Daphnia pulex: one gene and its partners. The protein of the gene in region 5 binds, or shares a complex with, the protein of the main gene of each other region. Links are inferred from orthologs where the notes say so. Each region holds a gene or a part of one and is shown on either strand. Other genes may lie near its edges.

Region 1 (4,027 bases), on a different chromosome or scaffold from region 5:
TCCTACAAACTAGTTATAATTATTATTTTTTACTTGTTTGAGCAAATTTCTCAAGAGCAATTAATGAAAACAGTACTACTGGTGGGTGGTTTGATGGATCCTAAAAGATATACATTGTTGAAAATAAAGTGAGACCAAAGATTGATTGTCAGACATACCAGGTTGGCTATAAGGTAATCCAATGTGCTGTCAGTTAGCAAAGCAACACTTGTAGGCCCAGCCAATTTTTCAGCAATGCAGCCCAATGCAATACAAATATTCCTGTGACGATTAGGATCTGATCTTCCCCTTTTACTAGCTTTAGCTGACAGCCAAAACATCCGGGGGACTTTAGTAATGGAATCCTGAAAAAAAAATGGTGAAAATTTAACCTAGCAACAATGTCTAACATATGATTAAAATCTTACCTTTGCTGGTAAGGCACAGTCATCTAGCACCAGAGTGATGACAGCAGGTCCAAGGGGTTCATTAATGGGTATTACATTAACCATGGAATGTAGAACAAGCAACCAACCATGCCCTTTGTTAGAAAGAGCTTGTAATCTTAACATTGAAGGAGGTGTTTCTTGATCACTAAACAAAGAAGGAATAATTAAAGTGGATACATAGGAACATATAATAAAAACATACTTTTCAACTAAATTTCCTATGACAGCTAATGTCTGCAAAACAAGACTGTCAATATGGGGTAGCATTCGCCTCAAGTGTGAGGCCTCAGATGCTGGTATAACATGAGATGGGAAACTTCTGTCTCTATCAACTGAAATATTAGATTGCAGTGGACTTGGGAGGCTGGCAGTTTCTGGTTGAGGCACTGAGAGAGAGGGTAGTTCCCCATCCTTTTCGTCACAACATAAGCATTGTCCCATTTTTAACTGCTTCAGTGGAAATTAAATTTGAACATGTTATTTGAGAGAGATCGTCACTATTCAAACGTGCAATTTGATCTCCATCTTAGTTAAGTTTATAAGTGGGTGTATATGGATTGACCAGGAATGGATTTGACGTTGTTCAACAATTAATTTCAGTAGCACTATTTAACCATGTTATAAATATGGATGGTAATCTAGTATTGAGAAATTCGATGAAAAAGGTATCGTCTGCTGCTTATAACGCGAACATAGATATCCGCTAGGGGCGCTTATAGGAGAGCCATCCTTTCACCGGACATCTAATAGTATCTAATGCCTAATGAGGAGTAACACAATTTGGAGTTTTCTTTTTCTTCCGTCAGATGTCGAAGTCCACAAGTTTGTTTATTAAAATAAGTCATACTGATACTGTAAAGTCTAATTAGTAATTACACGTTGTGGAATTCGCGTATTGCATATTCTTTTTAAAATAAGGCTTATCTTTTTTTGTCGAAGACAAAGAGTTATTTGATTGAATGGAAAAATAACATATAGTGTCCAATTTCAATTTTCGCTAGCGGGGTACGAGGTGATTGGCGACAGTTGACTTTGAATGTTTTCGAACTACTCCTTTGAGTTGTTGCTGATTATGCATTGAATTTATATCAACTGCTTCCTTTATTTTATCCTTTTTATTTATTTCAGTTACAGAATGGCAACCGGAATGATGCAAACATTCATCACTGGGCTTAGATCCAGAAGTGAAGATTTGAGACTAAAGGCTGCCCGAGATTTACACCATTATGTAAGAGAAGGATAAAGAGCTAAATGTTTAAGAAGGAAATAATATAGAATTGTTTTAATGTTGTCTTAATTTGTTTAGGTGACATCTGAGTTAAGAGAGGCATTGCAGGAAGATGTAATTTCATTTGTTGATGATTTGAATCACCATATATTTGACATGGTGTCCAGCTCAGATGTCAATGAAAAGAAAGGTGGCATTCTAGCCATAGTTAGTTTATTGCAAGTAGATGTTGGAAATACCAATGCCAGAATGACTAGATTTGCCAACTATTTGAAAAACTTACTTCCATCTCAGGATGTAGTTGTAATGGAGTTAACTGCAAGGGCACTTGGAAAATTGACACTGGCAAGTTAAACAAAAATCTAAATAGCCTCTACACATAATTAAAACAGATGATAAATATAGATATGCAATTTTTAATAAAACAGGTATCAGGAAGCTACACCGCGGAGTATGTGGAATTTGAAGTAAAACGAGCCTTTGAGTGGCTCAGTGGCGAGAGAAATGAAGGTCGTAGGCATGCAGCGGTAAGTTAAAAATAACATCATTAACGATATGTTGATACCATAAGTTTTAACTCAATTTCTCACAGGTGCTGGTTTTGCGAGAATTGGCTTTATCCATGCCAACTTTCTTTTTCCAGCAAGTCCAGACTTTTTTTGACGTTATTTTTTATGCTGTTCGGGACTCCAAACCAATGATTCGAGAAGGCGCAGTTGCTGCTTTACGCTCTGCTTTAGTCGTCACATCTCAGCGAGAAACTAAAGAAGCTCAAAAGCCTACTTGGTAATAAACAAGCTTGTACAAGTTTAACACATAAAGATATAGTATTAACCATTAATTAGGTATAAACAATGCTTTGACGAGGCCCAACAAGGTTTTGAGGAACCGTTAGCCAAAGATAAAGGACTAACAAAGGACGACAGAGCTCATGGATCTCTTTTGGTTCTTCAAGAGCTTCTACGTTGTTCGAATGCAGAGGGTGAACGACTTCTCGCTGAACTAGAGCAATTAAATTTACTACATTCACAGACTGTTCAGGTTGAATATGCCGATCTTTGTATGACCTGAGCAAATGCGATAATTCTCAATGATTTTTTACCAAAGGATTCTCTAATTTCTACAACTTCCCGAGTGTTGCCGAACGGTGCTGTTGAATTAATCAACACTCCTACACTTTACAATAATCTCCGGCTTTTGCCAGGGCATGTCGCTCAATCAAGGATAGCCAGCGCCGTGTCACCACTATCGATAGTTGCGCCCCAGCAGGTGATTTATAAAATTGATCGCAATACTTCCACTTACCTGAACGAATTTTCTATACAAACAGTACCCTATAGTTGAAAGCGCTGCATGCCGCCAATTGACTGCTGATCATTTTGATGAAATTTGTGCCAACACTCTTCGACATAGCATCTCAAAAAGCAGCCATGTACAAGCAGCTTTGATGGGAATTCTGCCTAGACTGGCTGCCTATGATCGAACCCGATTTTCTGATAGGTATTAAATTTTTGGAAAATTTCTTAAAATGACAAATGACCATACATACTTAATTTCCCCAGGTATTTGGGCCCTTCGATGAGCTACTTGATGGCGTGTTTGACCCGCAAAGAAAAAAATCCTCACCTTGCAATGATAACTATAGGTTATATAGCAGTGTGTATTGAAGGGGATATTGCCACACATCTCCCTGGCATTATTAGTTTTGTTCGGACTTCTCTACCTCAAAATAAAGTAGAGAAACTAAAGAGTGTAAAGAAGAAAAATTCTTTAATTTTCGAAACTTCTCCAAACTAGGACCCATCTTCTACCAAAAAACGCTCCAGTCCCCCTGATATTGCTGTTTTCGTCTGTCTAAGTCTGCTTGGCCGAGCCGTTGGTCGTTCTCATCTAACTAGTGAGTTCAAGGATCTACTGGATCCCATGCTGTCCGTTGGACTTAGTCCTGCCCTGACAACTTGTCTTCGTGAACTGGCCTTGAGAATTCCTCATCTTAAAAAAGACATTGCCGAAGGACTCTTGCGGATGCTTTCACTAGTTTTGATGCACCAACCACTTCGTCATCCAGGCATGGTTTTATTTTAAACAACGAATTTGGAAAAGTACATTCTACTTGAATTAATTTATCCATTCTATTTTAGGAATGCCAAAACATCATATGGCGCTCACTCCAGTGGCACTTCAACCACTACCATCGAATGGGGATGACGTCAATAGCATCGTTTTAGCTCTAAGAACGTTGGGGAGTTTTGATTTTCAAGGTTAAAAAACCAATTTATTTAAAATTCAATGAACGAGAGACGCAGATTTTTCAACATAATTTTGTTTGTGTCGCTAGGTCAACCACTACTTTTACAATTTGTTCGCCATT
Region 2 (3,974 bases), on a different chromosome or scaffold from region 5:
CGTAGACACGCAATTTTGTCGTGTGGGCATTTCAATTGAACGAGGACGAATTTCTTTTTTTCACACACACAAAATATTATATCTATAAATATAATCTTAATGAATAACGTCAATGAGTGGGTTGTCGTCGGATTTGGCGTCCTTGTTCTTCAAGACGGAGCCCAGCGACGTGGCCAATTTGGCGCAATGGCTAACGTGGACGAGCCAAGAATCTCCGTCCTCGTTCACCTGTTGTCGTCATGGCAACCAACCGAAATGAGCATGAAATCCCTTTTTAGAAAAAGTGACGCAAGAACACACTATAAGAAATACCTTTTCGCTGTTGACTCTGTAACGGCTCCAATCCTCGAAGGAATTGCTCCTGAATTCTGCAGGGACGACGATGGGGTGTCCATTGCGCTGGATCCATTGCTGCTGCTGCTGGACGAAAGAAGGATCGGAACGTTTGCGACCGTTGGTCCAGCCTCTGCTGTACCTGCACTCGGGCAATCAGATTGGCGGGGAAATGAATTATTTGTGAACAAAGTGAAATCGAATGGAACTCAACTGAAATGTCTGGGCCATGGCGGACACGACGACTAGGAGCAGGACGAAATACAGACGGACAGCCATGGCAAAAGAAGAGTATCGAACGTACTGATTGATGAACATCGAGTGATGTTGTGGCTTGTTCCACTCCATCGCCGTTGGGCTTTATATATACCGTCCAAATATCCTCAAGATTGTGTTTTTGATTGATATTCAGTCGGCGATCTTGACTCGAAAAGTTTTCGGTGACACAAGTTCAGCCTGACACGAGTTCTTGACATTTCGTCCAGCTCCTTGTGGTTGGTGGCTAATTTTAAACCAACGTCTCTCTACTGTGTACATAGTATATCTAGTGGCTAGTCTCCGCCTGGGACGTTGATTCAATTTTCTGAGGGTTGATAGAAAATCAGCTGTCCATTGATAACTTTGGGATCAGAACTTGAAGGGGAATAAAGTCGTCAAACTTTACTTGATTGGATTGAAAGATTGACGGTATATGCACATATTGTAGTGATTGGCATTTGAATCTCCAATTTCCACCTAAACACGTACGGACTAGTTTTTTAAAAAAGAAAGCGGCGATTCTTTTAGTTAAGACATCTAGCGGCAATATATTGAACTTGGTGGTTTAGCCACCTAGCGAACAATTGCCGAGGGACTATTGCAAGAGAGAAGAACTGTGTGTGTATGTTGCAATGCCCACTTCTTTCTCTCTTTGGCATTGAAAACCTTTTTTTTTTATTTACCAGTGGCCTCCAAGGTGTTCTAAATTTTCGCCTCTCGAATATCGGTAATCTTTCTTTGTGTCGAATCCCGACGACAGAGCAAAGTGCAAGAGAGTGATAAGACCAGTGTTTTTGAGGGAGGATGACTCAGACAGGTTGACGTTTTCTACAAGAGAAAGCGAATCGCCGTCATGATTAGTTGCGTCCGTCTGTTTCTCCTTGTTTCTCTCTGTTTTTGGTCGTGAGAATGAGAGCTGCTGTAGTGCTGTGAGCTGGTGAATTTGTACCAAACCTAGAAATCAACCCCTCGCACAGAAGAGGGAGTTGAGTGTGAGTGTTCCCCACGAGATTGTGTCTGTATTAAAATGAATTCACTCCGAAAGTGGCTCTACAAACCAAAGGTTCTTCAGTCTAGGATTTTGTCCACCAACCAAGACCTGTTTTTAATGTGGCCATTTCTTTTCCATTTCCCAATAGAAACATGATACATCTTTGCTGGCCCAGTTTTACTATGCAGATGAGGAGCTTAATGCAGTGGCCACTGAATTGGATAGTTTCGATGGAAGGAAAGACCCAGAACGGTGTGCATCGCTTGTTTACCAGCTAAGGCAGTGCCAGGACAAGGTACGATAAGTTTTGTAGCCTTGAAAATTGTGATATTGATTTTTCACCTTGGTCATCGTTTTCAGGTGCTGACAATATGCAGTCAGTTGATGGACGAAGTGATGCCCATCGACAGAGCATGCAGGGATTTCAGATCCAAGTTTCCTGATGATGTGTTGCAAGAGAACCTAGCTGGCCAGTTATGGTTCGGTGCTGAGGTTGGCTGTTGATGTTTTAGTCTCCTTAATTCATGCTCATCACATTTTTTCTTTTTGTCTTACAGTGCCTGGCAGCTGGTTCAAGTATTTTAAATAGAGAAACGGAAAGTGCAGTGATGCGTCCTTTGGCGAAAGCGTTGGCCAAATCGCTGGAGACGGTGCGGGAACAACTACGTGAGCAGTGCCTCCGTAACTCGATGGAGTTTCCCGACAAGCTACGCGAAAGCCTATGCTTGTTCGATAGGCTCTTCGCTGAATTTGAGCTGAGTTACGTCAGCGCTATGGTTCCAGTTAAAACAGCGCTCGAGTACAACCACCAGCAGGACATTATTGTCCTGTTCTCTGAGACGTTACAACGTGCCTTGAGTCTGGGACTTTTGTCCCAAGACTTGGTAGACGCCTGTGATCCCGCGCTGATGTTCACTATCCCGCGGCTTGCCATCGTTTGTGGTCTTCTCGTTCTTCCTGACGGACCACTCAATCTTCAAAGGCAGCTGTCTGAACTCTTCCGACCTTTCCGTAATCTACTGTGTAAAATTCGCGATCTGCTGTGGACCCTAACTAGCCAAGAACTGCAGCTCCTCGAAAAGGCTCTTTGTTCCACGGACCCAACTCCGACGTCGGACTCATCTGGCACTTACCCCATGTGCAAGACGGATGAGTACATAACAAAGTTTCATCAGGATTACCCAACCACTCAGAGGTAAATCAATTGCATTTTGTTTTCGTTCTTGTTTCCCATTTCCCCCCTAATAGCCAACATTGTCGTTCATCATTCAGAGTGGCAGGAAAGCTGTCACAAAAGAACAACAGCAGTAGTAACGCGGCTCCCGCGGAAGTGGCCAACGCAGACCAAGGCCGGACTGGTCACACAGTTGAGCGAAGGACCAATGACGAAGGCGATACCAGCTCGTGTTCTAGTACGACGTCGTCAGCATGCGGTACGAATAGCGACAGCTCCTCTGTCACGTCCGCCGCCTCCGAGTGTCAAGATGACGAAGAAATAGCGCTGGCCCTGCAAGCGGCCGAAATCGCTTCACGGAATCAAATTCGGGGCCGATTTAAAAGCAGCGAAGACTTGATCCACAGACTCTTTGTCTGCATTTCTGGCGTGGCGGATCAGCTGCAGACCAACTTCGCATCAGATCTACGCGCCATCCTCAAGGCTGTTTTTCTAATTAACGCCTCCCCGGTCAGAATAACATTACTAGCCCGCTTTTGTTGTTTACAGTTTAATCATAAACTTGTGCATTTTTTCATGCAGACGGAAGAGGAGGAGGAGCCAGTGGAAGAAGCTGAAGAAGGAGAAGAGGAGGTGGACAGCGGCAATTCGGCGTCATTGCTAGATGACGCCTGGTACGTCAACAACAGCTCATTCTTGACATTCCCTGGCCAGCAGTTCCAGCAGGAGACGTCCGAAGAGGAGAGACGAAGCTCGCTACCGAGCAACGTGCCTTTCCGCCTTAGCCAATCGACACCGTCGCCAGACGGGTCACCTGTCGACGACGATGACAGTGGGCTGCTTCAACCGGATCACGCCGAAACGGATTCGCTGGATCAAACGCCACCGTCCAGTCTGAGTCAGACATCGGATGGAACGCCTCCATTGACTATGCATCGGGCCACCACAGTAGCTCCGTACTCGGGCAGCCCCAGCAGCACATTCCCACTTGACGGGCAGCTTTCGACGCCACCGGCCTGGATTCCCGACGAGTCGGCGCCACACTGCATGTCCTGTCAATCGGTTTTCACTGTCGTTCGCCGTCGCCATCATTGCCGAAATTGTGGGAAAGTCTTTTGCGGCAAGTGCAGTGCTAACGCTGTCCCTTTACCTCGCTACGGCCACGTCAAGCCCGTCCGCGTCTGCAATCGATGCTTCATGTTCCACGTGACACATTTC
Region 3 (3,463 bases), on a different chromosome or scaffold from region 5:
TTGTATTTGTCAATAATTGAAATAGGGTTCTGCCTTCCGCATTGCCCGATTACCGTAATGGAATGGCCATCCGCCCCTACCAGTCCAATCCGCAGTTCATTTCCCCATTCAGTATTCAGTCGTCGCTCGATAAACCGTCAGATCAGCCAGTTTACAGGGTAGCAGATCCGCTTTTCGGCGCTTTTTACGCCTTTTCTTCTCTTCTCTCCAACATTTTCAGTGGCATTTTCCGACCGCAACCGACTCCGGCCGTCCTCGTCACCAGGTACACGATATTCCTTAAGAAATTCATAATTCAAAATATCACCGTCAATCATAAAATGACATTGAACGATTATAGTACATCGACAGTGTACACAACGACGACAACCGCAACTTCCACAACTTCGACAGCTACTTACACTTTGAAAGGCGCAAATTGTCTTCCAGCCGGAGTTGTTGTTTGTCCAGGATCTAATACCGCTGCTGCGTCCAGTACTACTGCCGCTTCAACCACCGCCTCCTCCACCACTCCGGCCTCCACCACTACATCGGCGACTACAACCACAGGATCGACGCCAACTTCCACATCAGGTTAGTACTTAGTATGAATCCACATTCGTAATTCTAAGATCACTATACATTTTTTAAAATATTTACCAAAATAAGATTCAACTACTACGGCCAGCAGCACCACCGATTCAAGTACTGTAACCAGCACGACAGATTCAACTACTGTCACAAGCACTTCCGACTCAACTACTGTTACAAGCACCACAGATTCAACTACGACGTCATCGACCACGCCAAGCTCTGGTTAAATTCAGTGTTGATGATTATGAAGATCTCGATGATTTAATTTAACAATAAATAATTAGAAATCATTTTGATGCGGGGCATAACATTATTAAAATGGTAAAAGAAAAAGATAAGTATGTTAAAGTAGTATTTAAAGAACAAAACACATTTTTACCTCTTTCTCGACCAATTTCAATACGACCGTGCCCATCAAATTGAACCATACATAGTGTTCGCTTCTGAAAAAGTTAATAAGAAATAAACTCACAGCATTACCCAATTCGTTTTTGAAGATCTAAGAAATGGAATGGAAGACAAATTTAGCCGAAAAAATTATTAATTTTTGCCGACGTTTTCGCGCAACAGACAGTTGATTTGATGCGGCAACACTGCGCTCATAGCAGAAGCTCAATCAAAATGTCAAACAACCTAAAACTAAATCCCTAAAAAGGCAAAACAATAACATTAGAGCAAGAGTTGGGTGTTTGGTCTCCTTTCTCTATGAAAAAAGAAAAATACAGAATGCTTCAATGTTTTATACACATTATCTAAGTGCTACGCTATCCGAAAGTACGATATACTTACTTCATTGGTGCGCGTACAAATCGAAATCGAATTTGGGTTCTAGGTCAACAGAGTATTATGGCGTTTTATGACAACAAATATTGGATTCTTTCCCATGTAAGAAACTCATTCTTGTACTCAGATGATACTGGTGAGTTACTTTATTCTCTTTGGAACATTTGATTTTCTATAGTGCTGATTGCATTGTTTCTCTCCATTCAGGCATGTGCGAAATGATATTGCAGAACGCTGATATACCAAAGAAGATCAGAGAAGAGGGTAAAAAACAGTGGTTTGGAAATTTAGATGATTCAGAAGAAGAGTTTGATGATGATGGACGAATTCACACAAGATCTCTAGGAAATGGTAATGATGACTTTGGAACTCGGAGGAGAAGGCTTAACACAGTGGTGAGGCTTGAGAAGATGAGGAAAGAACAGCAAGCAGCCGCCATGATCAGTACCATTAGATGGAAAGAGCCAGATTTGACCAATCTAGATCAAGGTGAAAAGACCAAGATATTTCAAAAGAAGGAAGTGGTTGCTCAGAATTCCAAATCTGCCCTTTCTAAACTTATGGCTGAGCACGCCTCGGATCCCGATTCGCCATTCATTGAGTATGCAAAATTTGATGGGAATTCTCAATTGAGAGCACCCACAAGAACAATAAGGATATTTTTAAGCATGCAAAGTGCTGAAGACCGCAACTTTCCTATGACCGTTTGTGTTGTGGCTTCGGCAAAGGTTTCTGAACTTATCGGCCTTGTTTGTTACAAATACAGCCACGAAAAAAGAGAACCTCCTTTAACGTAAATATTAAAATTTTGCCCTTGAAAAATTAGATTAATTAAGTTCAGTATATATTTTACAATTAGTGGATCTGTGGATAATTACGCACTATTCATTGCCGAAGACGACGGAAGTCCAGATGCCGATTTCCCTTGCCTAGAACCTAAAGAAGTTGTTGGGAAGTTTGGATTCACCTCCCTGGCTTTGGTTCGCTCTGCCAATCCCCCAAAGGAGGCGAAGAAAGACGTCGAGACTAATAAAACAGTTGATCAACTCAACACTGAGAAACCAGAAGAGCGTGGGGCTGTTCTGGAATCTACCGACTACCATTCGTTCAAAGGATTTTTGCTACACAAAGTTCGGCCAAACACGGAAATAACTTTGGGTAAATAAATAAAATGTTATAAATTATCCATGTCAAATCCAATAATAACGTTTCGCACAGGAATTTCGTGGGACCAAGTGGAGATCAAGCCTTGCCCAACTAGTCGGTCTGTAACAACTTTACTGTGGTCAAGGCCCAATCTCAAACCAACCCGTTTACCTATTGAAGTGATCGTAGATTGTGTTCCTATGCAAACATTGCCAGCATCAGTTGCTATTATGTATTACGACACAGATAAAAGAAAATGGAGGCGTTTGCGAATTGAGTGTGACTCGAAGACCATCGAACAAGTTGTGGCGAAGTTAAAATTCATATTAGAAATCCGGGGAGGACTTTACCGCCAGGAGTACCTCCATCACATGTCATACGTCAACAAGAAAGCCAGCCTGATTCGTTAAAAGAAATTTTAATAATTCAATTGTTTGTTTAATAAACCTTAAAATGCGAAATGTCAATTTTTACAAAGTATAGCGGATTATGTAGCGGAAGAAAGGATTATTGTAGACGTCGTTATCCAGAAAGGAATGGGAGAAGGTCCTATGTCCATTGAAAAGTTGGAACTATCATGCTCTGAACTTCGTCTAGTTGACGCTCAACCGTTGATAAGGACCGATGTAGTTGTTGGGAATTTTTTTCCAGGTGTACGAGTCCTATGTAGTGGCGTGTTTGATATGAAACAATTTTCTTGTTGACTGCTGCAAAATCTGGTAAGCTCTTTAGAAACTTTACATCTTCAGATTTCAATCGGCCTGTTTCAATTTGCACTCTTCCCTTCAAGACATCTTTAAGCTTACTCTTTGCATCTAAATAGGCTTCTCTTCTCTTTTTGTATTCTTCATTCCACAGCAACTTCTCATTCTTCAGTTGTTTTGTGGCTGATCTTGTTCGTTTCTCAAATTTCTGATGAGCTTTATCTCCAGTAGAAACTAGAACTTTGTTTAGAATGTCT
Region 4 (4,214 bases), on a different chromosome or scaffold from region 5:
CAATTGCACTTGATGTGGAGCTTTTCAACTATTTTGGAGTCGAACAGTTAATGGAACTGGCAGGATTAAGGTGTAAAGCTTGATAAGCCTTAAAATAATAATTTCTGTAGATTGTATTTAGTTGTTTATTTTCTTTCATCAGTTGTGCATCAGCAATTGCAGAAGGATTTCCAGAATCCAAAAATGTATTGATTGTTGTAGGTCCAGGGAATAATGGAGGAGATGGACTTGTTTGTGCAAGACATTTGAAAATGTTTGGGTATTATAATCTGAGGTACTTGCAGCAGCAGTTTTTTTTACATGTCTCTTATTTCTTTTATAGCTACTGTCCTGAAATCTTCTATCCCAAGCGTACAGCCAAGACTCTCTATGAAAATCTTACAAAGCAGTGTGAACTGTTTGAAATCCCATTTTTAACAGCATGCCCAACTACTGAAGACTTGAATTCAAAATACTCACTTGTTGTCGATGCACTATTTGGCTTTAGCTTCAAAGCTCCTGTCCGAAAGGAATTCACTGAGATTATTGACAATATGCTACACATGTCTACACCCTGCTGCAGTATTGATATTCCCAGTGGTACAGGAATTCATTTGTTCTTATTGTGCTAGCATTTTTCATACATACAAGTGTGCTATTAAATATTGTCTGGTACTTGCAGGCTGGGATGTTGAAAATGGGCCACTTGATCAAGATAATTCCTTAAAGCCAGCCATGCTTATTTCTTTGTCTGCGCCGAAATTGTACAGTATTTACTTCACGTTCATATTATCTCTGGTTCAAAAATAATTAAAGTCGATTATGGCAGGTGCGCAAGATTTTTCCACGGGATCCATTTTTTAGGGGGTCGTTTTATTGCACCTGCATTGGCTACGAAATACAAACTAAAATTACCAAATTATCCTTCAACGCATAATTGCGTAAGATTATAATATGTTTATCAGCAGGGCCCAGCAGAGCCGTAATAAATACACGATTTCAAAAGCAATGTCTTCATATTAATTATTTTATACTAATTAGTATTAAATTATTTTTAATAAAATCTTGTTTGAAAAGATTTTTGGTAAAAAGTTGTCAGCTGTCTGATGGCATAATCTTTGCTACGCGTTTCACAGAAGAATATATTACCGTCAGCAACCTGATTATTCACTAGCTAATACCGGTTCTTCAGGTGTAAAGGTGTAAAAGTAATAATAATTGAACTATCCATCAATGCGCAAGTATCTTACAAGCTTTTTTTAATATTTACAAAAAAAAAATACTTTAAAATCATATTCATGGATCGCGTTTTCAGAAGAAAAATATATATGTTAATTTTTTGTGAAAGAAATTTTTCTCTAATAATGGACTTTTATAAAAAAATTATCAATTAAAAAGTTTATGTTGTGAATGGAACTTTCAAATACGCTATATTCATTCTCTTGTGATACATAACATAGCCCTTATTAGTAATCTAGATTGCTTCATAGAACGGGAGAACACGTTTCGCATTCAAAAAAGTTCAATCGCGCGCGTTTATTCTCTCAGTTGTTTGTCAACCTTCGAAAATGGAGGTGCCTCGACGATTGGGGCGAACTGTCAAACGTAAATTTTTATTTATTTTTTTTGTTTTACTATAGGAAATTAATTTTCCTACAGTATTTCTGTTTTGTGTGCAAGCTTTCTACATTGTTTGATATTTAATCTTGAATCCTGTTTCTTCATCTAGTAAATGCTACTTCAGATGTGCTAGTTTCTTCAGCAATTGTGAATGGTAACCCTCAAACTGGTAAACTACAAATTTATAGACAAATACTTTATTATGTTTTATTGGTGACTGACTTCCTTGTACTATAAATGTCAAGACCTGACTCCCAGCATTAAGGATGCTTTGCTGCAAATGTGCTGCAAAGATGTTGTTACCCTTGGCAAACCTCAACACATAGGATCGGTTTTAAATGTAATCTCAAAGCATATTGAGAAGAAAGGCTGTGACAGCATTGGACTGGACATTTTGGATTTTTTTATATGGTCTCAAAAGAAGAGTTATATACTTTGTTGTGTATCAGTATTGAAAGATCCTTTTTTTTCCAGTCTACGAATTGCTTTGATCAACGACAGCAAAGCCGTAAGAGCTGCTGGTCTAAGGATAATTAGACTGTGCTTAAAAAATGAAGAATATGCACAAAAATTGGTTCAAGCAGATCTTCATTACTTCATTGCAAAGTATTATAAAGAATGAAATATAGAGGAACAAGCATATTAAGCTATATCTTTTGGTTCTCTAATAGGTGTCTGGATGTGCTCGTGGATAACATGGCAGAACGTGCTCAAGCCTTGAGATTATGTAGGAGATTGATGCTGGTTGATCCACCATCATTCCCTGTTGCTCTGGCGCGTTCAATTGTAGCTCTTGCTTTTGATGGCACCAAAGAAAAGGACCGTTTAGTACGAGCATCTTTGGCTATTCTAGCTGAACTTTGTAAGGTTTATTTCTATTAAAAGCCAAATCAAGACATCAATCCATTGAATTCAATCCATTTATAGGTATCGTAAACCCATCCGTGTTCGTTGCCAGCGGAGGTGTTCGATGTTTCTCATCTGCTGTTTTAGATTGCTCCTCTGCTCGTATGCAAGAAGCTATGATGGCATCCCTACTCTACCTATTCGACACAGAGCCGCGACGTGAGCTTTCGAAATTAAACCTGCGATTTCTGATTGCTCCCTATAGTGATTTCCACTATAGACACTACATAGATGCAGGAGAAGGAAACAATTCATCTACTACGACAGATGATCGTGAGCTTCGTCTACTCTGCGCTAAGCAAGCACTGCTTACAGTTCTTAGGTCTTGGAATGGAGTATTACATGTTATGAGCTGCAAAATTCTTGAAGACCTAGTCAAAGTCTTGCTCCCATGTCACTTGGAAACCAGGGCAAGTTCTTTCATCTTGATTGGATAGCTTGGTGGTTTATAATTAAATGACAATTACATTTTCATATAGAAATCAATGTTGGAATTCTTCTATACACTTCTGCGGTTACCACTGCCGGAATGGACGGACGAATTTTCCGTAGCGCTTCTAGCTACTGATCCGTCCCGTGTACAGGACGCCTGGAAGCTGCAGGAAGGCTATGTAGCTGCAGAAGGCAAATGTCTACTACCGCACATTTCCAAATTCAGACCAAATCTTGTATTAAACCATATGGCCTTGTTGGTTTACTGCTTGGTTGAAGCCAGATTAGTCCAGACACTTGTGGAAGTAATTACGACAAGTGACACTTTTATATCGGTCCGAGCAACAATTTTGCTGGGTACACTCTCGCATAATATAATAAATATTAACTATTATTATTAAATTATGAATCTGTTCCTTTTTAGGAGAGTTATTGCATTTAAGTAGTACTTTGCTGCCACCCTCCTGTCACGGGACAAAAATGTGTCTGCCTCAATTAGTTGACTGCATTACGTCACTTAAAAGCGACCCAGTGAAACGCCACCGAGCCGCCCAAGCAGCAGCAGCCCTCTCCAAAATTCACCAACTTAAGAAAAAAGGAATCGTTCCCTACAGTTTAGCTCTTAAACAAATCGTTGAATTAGAAAGAAGAGCATCGTGCAACAAACACTCCTCCGTGAGATACAAGAAAACTGAGGAGAATGCAACCAACATCCATCGAGACGAGACGGAGTTTCAGACCAATGGAGAAATGGAATCAGAGGTATGAATTTGTGTTCGCCCATTATAAAATAAATCAGATTTTAAAAATTTGGAATTTGTAGATGAGATCCAGCAGAGATTCTGATAGCGTTCTTTCAGCACTTTCTCGAGACTGTGGAGTCCTGGCGCAAAAAGATTCATTGATTTGGAACTGGTCCGTTTTATCCAATCTTTTCTTGGTAAAGATTATCTCATAGAAATCCATCTTTTCTTAAATAATCGAATTTTGTATAAACTTGTTATTGATTTATTATTAGTGGAGTAAGATGAATTCTTGCGCGTTGGAAGATTCGAATTTGAGATCGATTTTCCGTCGGGTAATGCAATTCTACAAGCCCACTAGCAATCAGTTTTGTCAATGCGAATTTAATAATAGCCGTATGCGTCTGTATTCGACCGTTGGTTGTTATCTGATGGATTCTCTTACAGTTATTGAAGAGGTAATCTTTTTCTTCTATTTGAATTTATGGTTTGTTATTAAATTTTTTGGTCGATTTTTATTTTTACAGTTGGAAT
Region 5 (4,014 bases):
TCGTCGGTAAGGGGTGTCAAGTACGGTAAATTGTGAAGGTTGGAATTATCCCAATTTTGTTGACAAAAACGTCGATCTTTGCTTGAATGTCTTACAGTGTTCTCGCGATGTATGACGGGAGTTAGAAAACTCAAATTTGGTGTTGAAGAGTAAGGATTTGGGTTGAGATAAGGTGGAGAAGGACATTCAACATTTGAGTTGCTGAGAAATGAACTACATCCTGACGGTGAACTTTCTTGTAGTAAAAGAACCTCACCAGGGTTTGAATCCTCATAAAGTTCATTAACCTTGTGACTTAATGGAACTTTTGTTTGTTCCTCTTCAGATGTGCTTGTTATGTGATGCTCAGCTGTACTTTCCTGGTCTAATGAAACAGGACTATATTTTGTACTTATTGATATGTCATCATTGCCAGATCCTTCAGTATCTATATAGAGTAACACAATTATTTGAAATTTTTTAATCGAGTAATGTATTGATGTAGACCTGATGAAGATCCACAAGGAATGTTGTGAAATGGAGTTCCAATCCCAAAATGACGTATTGAGATATCATCATTTGAAACTGCCTCTACCTGCAAAATACATATTTAATAAATACTCCCATCTTTAGTGTCATTAAATTGGCTGTTACTTTAGGAGGAATCATTGTAAACTTCTGTCCATTGATTGGGGAAATCTGACCGGTTTGTTCAAGATCGTCATGCTTCACGAGGTCAACGAGAATTATGCGACTCTGTTGTTGAAAGGCAGTTTTACGAATCTCAGTATTTAGCCGGAAACGGTGTTTGGATCCACCACTCCAGTTCATTTCTTTTTACTTCAATGTGACAATTAGAAAGCGAATACACAATTATTCATGTAATTTTCAATGGCTTTTGGCTTTCAAAAGCGTCCTTCATGACCAAGAATTTTCATGGAAATTCGGTCTGTTTTGGCGCCGCAGCCGGCGCTATTGAAGAGACATCTGTTAAGAGAGGCGTAACCTCCTTAGTAACCAGAGTACCAGACAGACTTTTTCCGTAAATTTTGTTTTTGGTGACATTTAAGGGGAATGGTGGGCCAGAGAGTAAACATACTAAAAAAAACAGACACATGAATTATATATAAGTTTATAATAAGGAAAAAAATTGGGGTGTATACGATTACGAATTCTGTGGGCCTGTGGCGTGCCTGTGGCATGAGAATGATGAGATAGCTTCCATTTTATGTCGAATAGAAAATGGCAACCTTGTGTAGTTGTGTTGGATTCATTTTTTCGTCGTAAAAAATAAACCAAAATCCGTCTGCACTCACACAACAAGAGAAACAATTTGAATTCGTGTCGTAATAATATGAATATATTGTCACTTCCAGTCGGGTGAATGTGTAGCTCATCAAGAGTTCGTTTTGTTTTGTGGTTTTTCAGATTTATCTAAATTTTTGGATAAGAAATCTGATAAATCGTTGAATAGATGACCATGTCGGGGGAGCTCTCGGTTTTCCAGCGTGCTCCATCACGTTCACCTTCTCCCGATGAACAGGGCCAAGATGAAGAAGATGAAGATTGGGCGATTGGATTAGCATTTTCTTCAGAAAGGCACACAGATAAAATTGAAGGATTAGAGGATTGTGCTCAAAACTGGAGATTAAAGGATCGGGTAACCCATGCATTTATTAAGTTACCTTTCCCGTCCAAAATCAAAATTTAAATAGCATTTTGTAATTTTTTCTCCACACAATTGTGCATGTACGGCTTAATAAAATAGGATTTCTTTTATTTTTTTTAAATTCAAGATGAAAACAGTAAGTGTGGCATTGATATTATGCCTTAATGTTGGAGTAGATCCTCCAGATGTAGTTAAAACTCAGCCCTGTGCAAGGCTAGAATGCTGGATAGGTATGTGATTTGTAAAGGGTTGTGTGTGTAGTGTTGTTGCTTTTTTAATGCAATTTTCCTCAATGTGTAGATCCTTTGTCTATGAGTCCACAAAAAGCATTAGAAGCAATTGGCATCAACCTTCAGAAGCAATATGAGAGGTGGCAGCCCCGTGCTCGCTACAAGCAAACTCTAGATCCTACCGCTGATGAGGTACAACCGAAAAATTCTTGTTTGTTTAGAAAAGAATAATTGTGATTAATGTTGTAATTCATAAATGTCAGATTAAAAAAGTAACATCTACTCTCCGAAGAAATGCTAAAGACGAAAGAGTGCTGTTTCACTACAATGGGCATGGCGTTCCGAAACCAACTGCCAATGGAGAGATTTGGGTCTTCAATCGCAGTTATACGCAATATATACCGCTCTCGATTTACGACCTACAAACTTGGATGTGGTCTCCGTCAATTTACGTATTTGACTGTTCAAACGCTGGCATGATTGTGGACGCGTTTCAACAGTTCGCGGATCAGCATCAGAGGGAGTACGAACAACTGATGGCTCAATCAAGAAACACATTGCCTTCTCAGATGACACCACCTCCGAATTTCAAACAGTGCATTCAGTTGGCTGCATGCGCAACTAATCAGATTCTTCCTATGAATTCCGAACTGCCAGCTGATATATTTACTGCATGTCTCACAACTCCTATTAAGGTAACTAGAATATGTTTTAAGATAAATTGGAAATTTAATGTACTATTCCATTTTTTCCCCTATATCAAAAGATTGCACTTCGATGGTTTGTTTTACAAAATACTTCCCGTTTGGTGCCCCGAATGACACTTGAATCAGTCGACAAAATCCCCGGGCAGCTTAACGATCGCAGAACTATGCTGGGTGAATTAAATTGGATTTTTACCGCTATAACTGATACGATTGCTTGGAATTCACTTCCACGGGACGTGTTCCAGCGCCTTTTCAGACAAGATCTTCTTGTGGCTAGTCTTTTCCGGAATTTCCTTTTAGCAGAAAGGATACTTAAGTCGTATGACTGCACGCCAGTCTCTTGGCCAAAGTTGCCTCCTACGTCTCAGGTTATTAGGATTTAAAGTTACCTTTTCACATTATTTAAATGTCTTATAATTTCGGCATTCTTTGATTTTAGCACCCAATGTGGTCTGCTTGGGATTTAGCTCTTGACATTTGCCTCTCACAGCTACCAGGCATTTTAGAAGGCAAGGAAACCTTCCAGAATTCCCCTTTTTTTGAGGAACAGTTGACGGCTTTCCAAGTTTGGCTTTCGCATGGGTCACAAAAGAGATCTCCTCCAGAACAACTACCTATTGTTCTGCAAGTTCTTTTAAGTCAAGTTCATCGTTTAAGAGCACTTGAACTCTTGGGGCGATTTTTAGATTTAGGCCCTTGGGCTGTCAATTTGGCGCTGTCGGTCGGCATTTTTCCATATGTTTTAAAGGTTTGCTTTTCTATTTTAATATGTTCTACTCGATAACTGAAATCTTCGTTTTAGTTACTTCAAAGTTCTGCGCGGGAACTGCGCCCATTACTTCTATTTATCTGGACGAAAATTCTTGCTGTTGATGTTACCTGTCAAGCGGATTTAGTCCGTGATGGAGGACACAAATATTTCCTCTCTGTTCTTCAAGATAATTCCGTGCCGGATGATCAGCGCACGCTGGCCGCCTTTGTGATTTCTAGAGTGGTCTGGAATCATCCTATCGGGCAGGATGCTGTTTCTCAAGTAGCTTTTATCTCGAATGCCCTGGAAATGGTCTATGAAAAGGATAAATTACTTAGACAATGGATCGTCATTGGAATTGGCTTAGCTTGGCACAATGCTATAGCTGCTCGTTGGTCGGCAATTCGAGACTCCGCTCATGAGAAACTATTTCCGTTGTTGCGAGATTCTGTTCCTGAGGTATTTACAACATTGTTGATTATATGACATTAAATCTGTCGAATTTCAGTCTTATTTGTTTATGTATGTTAAGGTTCGAGCGGCCACTGCTTATGCCCTAGGAACGTTTATCCATAGTGGAGGAAAGACGGAACGAAATGAACTTGCCAACAAAATTGATCACGCAGTGGCCTTACAACTGGTGAATGTTGTGAACTCGGAAGCTAGTCCTTTGGTTCG

The links. The genes of interacting proteins can lie anywhere in the genome.
Region 1: the proteins of regulatory-associated protein of mTOR-like (region 5) and serine/threonine-protein kinase mTOR-like are in contact, whole or in part, in a cryo-EM structure (PDB 6BCU), measured with the Homo sapiens proteins. The link is inferred for Daphnia pulex from reciprocal best matches to the Homo sapiens genes RPTOR and MTOR. Residues at the interface, in NP_065812.1 of Homo sapiens: Phe278, Lys282, Cys283, Ser285, Leu286, Pro288, Gln380, Ala381, Asp383, Leu384, Asp387, Glu411, Gln412, Thr414, Ala415, Val418, Trp419, Thr421, Met422, Arg427, Asn428, Glu431, Gln432, Lys973, Ile974, Asp979, Leu980, Glu981, Ser982, Lys986; in NP_001373429.1 of Homo sapiens: His597, Thr600, Pro632, Val644, Ser645, Gln646, Thr647, Ala648, Val649, Ala653, His686, Ala688, Gln689, Glu691, Met721, Asn722, Pro723, Ala724, Phe725, Met727, Pro728, Phe729, Arg731, Lys732, Leu734, Ile735, Leu738, Thr739, His743, Tyr771.
Region 2: the proteins of regulatory-associated protein of mTOR-like (region 5) and lateral signaling target protein 2 homolog are in contact, whole or in part, in a cryo-EM structure (PDB 9F43), measured with the Homo sapiens proteins. The link is inferred for Daphnia pulex from reciprocal best matches to the Homo sapiens genes RPTOR and ZFYVE28. Residues at the interface, in NP_065812.1 of Homo sapiens: Arg54, Arg305, Arg306, Thr317, Asp321, Phe337, Arg338, Leu341, Ala344, Arg348, Leu437, Gln438, Leu440, Leu441, Ser442, Gln443, Arg446, Pro474, Tyr475, Lys478, Leu479, Gln481, Ser482, Ser483, Ala484; in NP_066023.2 of Homo sapiens: Arg399, Val400, Phe401, Phe402, Met403, Asp404, Asp405, Val406, Glu407.
Region 3: regulatory-associated protein of mTOR-like (region 5) and target of rapamycin complex 2 subunit MAPKAP1-like share a complex: the UniProt entries of both Homo sapiens proteins name them as parts of the mechanistic target of rapamycin complex. The link is inferred for Daphnia pulex from reciprocal best matches to the Homo sapiens genes RPTOR and MAPKAP1.
Region 4: regulatory-associated protein of mTOR-like (region 5) and rapamycin-insensitive companion of mTOR-like share a complex: the UniProt entries of both Homo sapiens proteins name them as parts of the mechanistic target of rapamycin complex. The link is inferred for Daphnia pulex from reciprocal best matches to the Homo sapiens genes RPTOR and RICTOR.

What each region holds. Positions count from the first base shown.
Region 1 is NC_060027.1:5,106,129-5,110,155, forward strand, and holds the start of serine/threonine-protein kinase mTOR-like, read left to right. Parts: upstream 1-1,227; 5' UTR 1,228-1,440; intron 1,441-1,556; 5' UTR 1,557-1,563; coding exon 1,564-1,656; intron 1,657-1,734; coding exon 1,735-2,001; intron 2,002-2,084; coding exon 2,085-2,183; intron 2,184-2,248; coding exon 2,249-2,442; intron 2,443-2,501; coding exon 2,502-2,697; intron 2,698-2,763; coding exon 2,764-2,925; intron 2,926-2,986; coding exon 2,987-3,156; intron 3,157-3,218; coding exon 3,219-3,390; intron 3,391-3,453; coding exon 3,454-3,724; intron 3,725-3,797; coding exon 3,798-3,917; intron 3,918-3,994; coding exon 3,995-4,027. Other genes in the region: RING finger and SPRY domain-containing protein 1-like, read right to left, coding at 34-100, 159-344, 408-573, 631-869. UniProt on the Homo sapiens protein: Serine/threonine protein kinase which is a central regulator of cellular metabolism, growth and survival in response to hormones, growth factors, nutrients, energy and stress signals.
Region 2 is NC_060024.1:11,063,000-11,066,973, forward strand, and holds the start of lateral signaling target protein 2 homolog, read left to right. Parts: upstream 1-1,174; 5' UTR 1,175-1,618; coding exon 1,619-1,654; intron 1,655-1,730; coding exon 1,731-1,877; intron 1,878-1,942; coding exon 1,943-2,074; intron 2,075-2,139; coding exon 2,140-2,777; intron 2,778-2,854; coding exon 2,855-3,266; intron 3,267-3,338; coding exon 3,339-3,974. Other genes in the region: uncharacterized protein LOC124199533, read right to left, coding at 97-228, 313-475, 548-651. UniProt on the Homo sapiens protein: Negative regulator of epidermal growth factor receptor (EGFR) signaling. Acts by promoting EGFR degradation in endosomes when not monoubiquitinated.
Region 3 is NC_060023.1:2,534,797-2,538,259, reverse strand, and holds target of rapamycin complex 2 subunit MAPKAP1-like, read left to right. Parts: upstream 1-1,183; 5' UTR 1,184-1,307; coding exon 1,308-1,347; intron 1,348-1,405; coding exon 1,406-1,492; intron 1,493-1,563; coding exon 1,564-2,149; intron 2,150-2,215; coding exon 2,216-2,514; intron 2,515-2,574; coding exon 2,575-2,912; 3' UTR 2,913-2,963; downstream 2,964-3,463. Other genes in the region: uncharacterized protein LOC124198557, read right to left, coding at 3,052-3,463. UniProt on the Homo sapiens protein: Component of the mechanistic target of rapamycin complex 2 (mTORC2), which transduces signals from growth factors to pathways involved in proliferation, cytoskeletal organization, lipogenesis and anabolic output.
Region 4 is NC_060019.1:11,217,447-11,221,660, forward strand, and holds the start of rapamycin-insensitive companion of mTOR-like, read left to right. Parts: upstream 1-1,414; 5' UTR 1,415-1,547; coding exon 1,548-1,584; intron 1,585-1,708; coding exon 1,709-1,768; intron 1,769-1,844; coding exon 1,845-2,010; intron 2,011-2,073; coding exon 2,074-2,205; intron 2,206-2,270; coding exon 2,271-2,461; intron 2,462-2,526; coding exon 2,527-2,915; intron 2,916-2,984; coding exon 2,985-3,294; intron 3,295-3,361; coding exon 3,362-3,699; intron 3,700-3,760; coding exon 3,761-3,877; intron 3,878-3,955; coding exon 3,956-4,138; intron 4,139-4,207; coding exon 4,208-4,214. Other genes in the region: NAD(P)H-hydrate epimerase, read left to right, coding at 1-70, 143-259, 323-579, 662-743, 809-932. UniProt on the Homo sapiens protein: Component of the mechanistic target of rapamycin complex 2 (mTORC2), which transduces signals from growth factors to pathways involved in proliferation, cytoskeletal organization, lipogenesis and anabolic output.
Region 5 is NC_060017.1:2,265,809-2,269,822, forward strand, and holds the start of regulatory-associated protein of mTOR-like, read left to right. Parts: upstream 1-1,214; 5' UTR 1,215-1,453; coding exon 1,454-1,639; intron 1,640-1,775; coding exon 1,776-1,878; intron 1,879-1,948; coding exon 1,949-2,070; intron 2,071-2,141; coding exon 2,142-2,573; intron 2,574-2,644; coding exon 2,645-2,953; intron 2,954-3,024; coding exon 3,025-3,333; intron 3,334-3,387; coding exon 3,388-3,795; intron 3,796-3,868; coding exon 3,869-4,014. Other genes in the region: uncharacterized protein PB18E9.04c-like, read right to left, coding at 1-427, 487-574, 634-810. UniProt on the Homo sapiens protein: Component of the mechanistic target of rapamycin complex 1 (mTORC1), an evolutionarily conserved central nutrient sensor that stimulates anabolic reactions and macromolecule biosynthesis to promote cellular biomass generation and growth.